Arabidopsis thaliana: one gene and its partner. The protein of the gene in region 1 interacts with the protein of each later gene in a pairwise test. Each region holds a gene or a part of one and is shown on either strand. Other genes may lie near its edges.

The links. Proteins that work in one complex are often made in the same cells at the same time.
Region 2: the proteins of AT4G37180 (region 1) and AT4G00870 interact in a two-hybrid assay, tested with the Arabidopsis thaliana proteins (one large-scale study listed by BioGRID).

The regions. Positions count from the first base shown.
Region 1 is NC_003075.7:17,502,559-17,506,315, reverse strand, and holds the start of AT4G37180 (Homeodomain-like superfamily protein), read right to left. Parts: upstream 1,753-3,757; 5' UTR 1,669-1,752; coding exon 1,443-1,668; intron 1,372-1,442; coding exon 1,190-1,371; intron 1,100-1,189; coding exon 784-1,099; intron 670-783; coding exon 593-669; coding exon of another isoform or gene 536-592; exon of another isoform or gene 500-535; coding exon 209-499; 3' UTR 1-208.
Region 2 is NC_003075.7:361,959-365,715, forward strand, and holds the start of AT4G00870 (basic helix-loop-helix (bHLH) DNA-binding superfamily protein), read right to left. Parts: upstream 1,752-3,757; 5' UTR 1,682-1,751; coding exon 1,421-1,681; intron 1,283-1,420; coding exon 272-1,282; 3' UTR 1-271. Other genes in the region: AT4G00872 (Plant invertase/pectin methylesterase inhibitor superfamily protein), read right to left, coding at 2,189-2,483, 2,558-2,778.

The sequences.
Region 1 (3,757 bases):
AAAAAAAAAAAAAAAAAAAACACAGAGGATTTCGAACACTCTTCTCTATCTATTTCCTCTTGCAAAAACAAACCCTACTTTTTGCTCAAAATCCTCTTCCTTATTTCAACTCTCATGTTTACATCTACAAAAACTCCCGAACAAACTCAAAGTTTTGAGCATATATAACATAAGTTGGTAAAGATTATATCATTCACTATGCAGACTTTCAAAGCTCAAGATCCAACACTTGTCTCTTCTTCTTTGTTTCATCATTTCTACAGCTACTACGTCCATCAGACTTCTCCTCCTCTTCATCCTCCTCCTCCTCATCTTCCTCTGAGCTATGACCAACATTACTACTGAACAACCCTCTTGCAACAAGTGGGCTTTGTGGCGAATCCGACCTCGACAAACTTATTAAGCTCTGCGATTCTCTCTCTAACACACCTGGCTGATCCGACGATGACAAAGTCTTTGTCGGATGCAGCGGATGCTTACGGATATGCATTCTATATTTCTGCAATAACAATTTCATTTCACCGCACTGTCAAAATCATTCATTCATCCACACATCAAAGTTTAAGTTACTGTAAAAGATGAGAACTTTTACTTGTAAATGGCTCTTGACTTCATCATTGGTTAAACCATCAACTTTCATCAAATCTCTAATCTGCTTTGGTGTAGCAACTGTCTCACAACAACAACAACAACAACAACAACAACAATACAAAACAATCTCAGTATAATCAATCAATCAAATCTAAAGCAAAGTTTGATCCTTTACTAAGGTTAAGGACTAACCTTGTGGCCCTCCAAGCCTATGAAGAGCATCAACAAATTTACGGTGAAGTTCCTGTGACCATCTCCTTCTCTGCTCTTTCTTCTGAATGTGATGACTCTGTGAAGAAGGTTTATTGAATTGATGATGATGATGACTCTGCTCAATTCTGCTATAATCCATCATCATCTCTGATGTTGGAGTCATGAGAGACAGAGGAGCTGGTGGTGGAGGAGGTGGGGGACGGTTAAATGGCATAAATACCCCTCCTTGATTAGGGTAATTACATGTCTGAAATGGGTTCTGACTCACACACCGATCTTCTTCTTCTTCATTTGTCTGTCAAAACATGATCATAAGGTCAACAAGATCAATCACACAACATATGATTCTTCACAAAACATAAAAAGGGTTGCTTTTTGATCGTACCGATCGGAATTGGGAATTAGGGTTCGAGATCCATAACTGGGCAGAGCTCATCCAGCTCTTCTTATCAGTTTCCGGTTTTGCCCTTTCAACATCATCGAATTTCCCATTAGATGCCATCAGTGATAACCCTTTTCTAGCCTCATCCTTCAACGCCCCAATCGCTACACAGAGAAAAACAATCTCTTTAAACAAAAACACGAATCGATTAGAGAAGATAAAAAAAAGAAAAGGAGAGAATTTTAATAAAAGATACCTTCGTTCAATAAGAGCATGCATAAAGGGAGTTCTCGTTTAAAAACATCGATTTTGTTCCTTTCTTCCTCTAATTTTCCGACATAACCATCGATTTCAGACAGTTTGGAATGATTGTCTTTGATCCTCGACACTTCATCGAGAAATTGAGATAAGGGTTTTGGTAAAGAGTAGATAGACAAATTCAGATTAAGACCCATCCTTTGATCGGTTTCTGTTTGAACCATCGGACAAGATAAAGACAAAGAGAAGCAAGCTTAAAGAGGTATATATAGAAGAAGATGATGAAGATGCTGAAGAAGATAAATGAGAACAAAAAAAAAATGAGATTAGGGAAGAAGAAGAAGGACGCGGTGAACCGTAGCCGCTGTAAATAAGTGGAGACTTGAGGGTGTTTTTGTCAATATTAAAATTAGATTTATCTTTAAATGGAAGAAAGAATCTTTTTGTGATGCCCGTACACACGCGGCGAATCGTTACACTCACTTATATATATTTATTCTTCTCTTTTTTTATATTTTTCTTTAAGGATTTTTTTCCTTTTAATTCGGCTATTAATTATATTACAATTTTCAGTTTTGGGAAACTTGTTATTTATTTTGTTTTTAGTGCTCTTCTCATTCAAGATTCTCATATTCCTGTTATCCTGTATTTAATATTTTCCCAAATTAGTCTTAAAAAGAGGATTCTGAAGAATCTATAATATTTTACAAACACTATTTTCTGCATATGGAGTGGTTCAGGCTGTGAAATATCCCACTAAAATATTTATTAAAGATAATATAAAAAGAATCTGTTGAAAGACTAAAAATAAAATAAAGCAACTCAATTATTGGATAAAAAATTAAAAATAAGGAATTAACAAAATCAAACTATAACTAAGAAAGATCAAATTTATTTGTACAAAATTAACAATTTTCTACTTTTTTAAAGAAAAATCAAATTTTATTTTCCTACTTTAACAATTAAAAGTAGATAAGTTACACTTTTTTGGAGTAAAAAATTACGTTTGAAATAAAGAAGATTTAGACTACAACAAATATTGACTTTTTATAACCTAAATGTTATGAGCTTGAAAGTTATACATTTATAGTCAACATGATATGAGATTAAATGTTGAATATAAAAAAGGTATGTACCACATAGTACATGTAGCACATCGTCAGAAATAACTTTGCTAGACCAACAATACCGAATGGGCATAACCGTGTATGGCCTATGGGCTATGGATTCATGTATTTGTTATTGTATCTCAAACACAGAGCTATACTGAAATCTCGGTTTCATGGAATTCGAACCACTCGTTTAAAAACCGATAAAACATTCAAACTATACAATCGGGTTTAATTAAACGATGTTCTTAGATAGGCAAAACCACATGTACGTTTATGCAAGTAGTACGATACATAAATTCGTACTTCAGTTTGTACTACTATCATATAACTAGACTAAATTAGTAGAGCCGTATAAATAATTAATCTTTACTAGTATAGGACATATTCGCTTTAGTTTATCTTTTCGAATAGAAAAATTATACTAAATTTTGCTAAATTTTACTAAAAAATTATACTAAACATTTTACCCGGAAAAAAATTATACTAAATTTTGCTAACACAAGCTACTAGCTGTATTAGAAATCGACACATACGTATGTGATTTTAAAAGAGTGAAGTGGTCAAAAGATCTCTTTGTCTTTTCTTTATTTTTACCACACGCAACGTCCATTTACATTCACGGTGAGCATTAGTTTCAAGAAATCACGTAACCTTTGTGTTTATAAGTGCCCTTTTCATGGTTTAGTTGGTTTTGGTTATCGTATTATGAATATTTTTGTTCATTTCAGTGTTGATATTCTTTTCAAGAAACTAGGTTGATCATTCTTATGTAGCACCATTATTTCTTGCAAATTATTCCACTACTCATCCATTTTTTTTACTAATCAAAACTTATATCGTTCAAAAGGTGAATTATACTTAATATTATTATATGAAATAAAACTCAAGAATTCTCTAGCAAAATGAGAAAAAAGGATCTTTCGCATAATCCAATGTAAAAGATCCCAGTACGCAAAGCTACTTTATTCCATGCTTTTTCCTGCTAGCCAAATACAAATTTCTTTCAATTTTAAAATAGCATTCAATTTTTTCAAAATAACATTTGATTCCTCTAACAAAAAGATATTCCGAAACACAGTAGCATGTAAAATGCCTAGGACCTATAAACAATAAAGACCACAAGGAATCTAACGGACGGACCAAAAGAAACGGCTCACTGTTAGCCAACTATACCAGGACACGTGTCCAACTAATCCAGATT
Region 2 (3,757 bases), about 17 Mb from region 1:
TTCTTTTAAAATATACAGTCTCTATATTGTTTTAGTAAGACAATATACCAAACACTTTGCGCTTTTAGCGAGCTAGTACGTACGTACGAGAAATAAAGTAAAAAAGTAACACATAAACTACGTATCAACGAGATCAAACTTTTGATAAAACAACATTAATCGCTAGAAGGAATTTGATTTTTCTAGTACTTATCAAATAAAACAAAAGGTCGCAAAAAAAAACAAAAATTATTATCACATCCTATGTTGACGTCACAAAACAAAGAAATTGTTATAGGCTTAGGGTTCGGACAAGTGTGGTCCTAAGCCTATCTTCCGATCTTAATCCTTCTGGAACCAAAACAACAACATCTTGAACCATAACCTGACTCAAGCGCGACGCGTTCGCGTGTTGTACACGACAATCCATTTCCATTAACGCACTCATCAATGCCGACGTAGGATGGTTCACATTCTCTGTCTGAACCCTAATTATGGCTTCTTCTCCGACGATCTTCACTTGCACTTCCAAGTCAGAGCCTCTGTTTGATTTTGAAGGTTTCTGGTTAACTTGGTACTCAACGGAAGACGGAGACGTATTGCTGCTGCTGTTGTCTAATTTATCTGTCTCCGTCATCTTCATTTTCTTGATCTCAGTTTCGAGATCATCGATTTTGGATTTAAGACTTTCTATGTACGAAACTGCGTCGGATAAAAGTGACGCTTTGTCCATTCGTGACACTTTTGGTACGATGGCACGTAGAGCGTAAAACCGGTGGTTTAGCTTCTCTCTCCGTTGCTTCTCCGCTTCCACGTGGGACAAAACCGCCGGATGATGTTTCTCTTTCGTCGCCGCAGCTACCCTTGTCGTCTCAAGTTTCCTCCTCCGTTTTCTTTCCGACCCGAATTGCTGATTTCCGCTTTTCGAATGATCTGATACCGCCGGTTTAGGGTAAGAACCGGTTTGGTTAGTGTGTTTTGTTGTTTTACCCGACCCGAATATGGACTTGACTCGGTTTATAAAGTTCCGGTTTTGTATAATTGATTCAGACGAACCAAGTTCGATAATGCCATTGTTGATGGGTATGGAGACCAATGTGTGTACCCCGTGAAAACCGGCTTCTTTAGCCCTCTCGTAGTTGCTAAACCGGAGCTCGTCGGGACCGGTTAACCAAACCAAAGATTCATCGGATACTTCCTTTCTCGGCGATCTATCTTCACCGTAAAACGATGCGGCATAGAACAACTCCAGATCATCTCCACCGTCCATCATCAGCTCACACTCGATGCTGTTTGTTGTATACTTAAGAAAGAAACAAAAACAAAAAATCAAGGGTAAGGAAAATTATATTATTTTCTTAATAGAACTTTTTTAAGAAGTTGATTTAAATAAATTTTGGATATTTTGATTAGATAACATAAGAGGCAAAGAAAAATGAACATTTTCTTGGGAATTGTTGTTCTTGTTTCCACAGAAATGACCATCAACCCAAACCAAGTAAGACCGGTCCGATTGATCATCAAACATCTTTTGCCAAAAAATGACATAAGCCCATCGGTCCGGTGAGGTTTCCACGACAAACCGGAGTTTTTGTTGAAGTACTAAATCCGGAGGAGAAGAGGACACTATGGCTGCAGGAGTTTGTTGTGTAAAAGAGAGCAAAGAAGAGGACAATGATGGAGAGAAAGTGAGATTATACATTTCTTTCCAGTGATCCCGACCAAAGAGAATTTAGAGGGTTAGAGAAGACAAGTGGAAAAGGATGAATAAGATTCTAAATTAATAGAGAAGACGATATTATAGTAGTAATATCAAATTTTCATTAATGATTTTCGTGAATTAAAGTTTATGATAAATATTCCAATAGTAGTAAGTTAGTCACGTGAAAACTGAACTGTTTTCCTACTTTAACGTTATAAGAACAACAATTTATCGTATAGTGGTCCAACTTTGATGAAATAGACAATATATCATTCTTTGCCAAAAAAAAAAAAAAAAAAAAGACAATATATCATTTAGATTTATATTGAATGATGGTTCAAACGAAAACTTATTTTGACAAATTTGAAAAGAAAAAAAAAACATGAGAGCTACAACAAATGGATATATGTGACTTTATAAATTTCATAAAGGAAATGATTTATTCAAATTGGGGTAAGCATTGATCGAAGTTGAGTTATATAGAAAACAATAAGGAGTTATTACTTATTAGAAGCGATCAATGATCCTCATAGCAGCGTCAGAGAGTTGAGCATAGATATTGATTTGACTAAATAGTTGGGGAGACGTGAACTTGACACGTTTGAGATTGAACATACATCTCAGAGGAAAGCCAAGCGCAAGCTTTATCGATTTGTTGGTTTTATCATAATCACCGGTTTTCAAACTTGTTTTGGCTTCCGACAGTATTGTAGATGCATTCGTCGACAAGTCTTTTTTGCAAATCTCCAGAGCTGTTTTCACTTCACCTTTATCTTTCTTTGACGATAAATTCGTTATGTTACTACACAAATGAAAAAATTGATATATTAGAGGATATTTCTGTATATTGGTTATAATTTGTAAGTGAAAACTTGCTTGGTGATGATATGGAGGTGGGATTCAAGACAGTTTATGACGATGCCAGCTATGCCTATATGGTCGGCGTGAATGGAGTTTGGGTCGGATTCAAGACATTGCATGCATATGGCTGGGACGTCTGCATTGTGGCATTCATTTATCATCATGTCCTTCTCGGCGCATATCGACATAGGAGAGATCACCAGTATTAACAGCAGAAACTTGATCATCGTTTTCATGCTAAGTATGATTGATTATAGACTATATTTCTTTTTAAGGGGTGTGAATTACTTATATAAACTAAGAATATGGTTGGTCATGACTCATGAGTGATCTCTTTTACATTACACGTGTTTAACGTCTTTAATTTTACCTTTAAAACTGACCATTGAAATGCAAATTGATGTCTTATTTTACTTCATTTGGGTAGAAAAGCAGATTATAGTTCTCTTTTTGAATTATAATTTATACATTTTCTTACTCCATTCAATAATATTATGATCTATTACCCTTTAGTTTATGTTTTAAGTTTTTTTAATACATTTATGGATATTATTAGACATATAAACAATATAATAATTAAGATGTTTTGGCTTAGAACCTCCTAGTATTAAAAAAAAAAGTAGGGTAATTAATGATGTTTTTTCTTAAAACAATAACTAAAAGTAAGTAAAAGTTTTTTTTTTGTTAATTTTAAATTTTACTAATTGTAAGTAGGTAATAATAAAATTTAAATAAATTAGTGTAATTGTTTTTTTTTATATATACTTAGCTGAATACTTCCGTAAACATGTTTATAATACAAAAGCCCAATTTTGGCCCATAAACTTATAAAACATGGGTTTTTTTTTGTCGTTATAAAACATGGTTTTAGTTCACGAAGAATAATATATTCCTACCGCATCTAATCTATTAAACAAAATCACGTTATTGTATTTGGTAGTGAGTGTTGTTATTCTGGCCATACAAATGGTCAAAAGCCTCTCGTCCATTTCTTTCCATTTTCAAGATTCTTCAATCCATCATTATTTTGCTTTACTTATAAAGAATCGTACGAAAAATTATAATCGAAATAAAGTTTCGAATATACGTACTTCAAACAAAATTAAGAGGAGAAGACCACTGCACAATTGCATATTTATGGTAGATTTTGCTTCACTTTTTTTTGCAAGTGTATGATTAAAGTTTTTCTAACATATCATGAGGTTGTTATTTTTG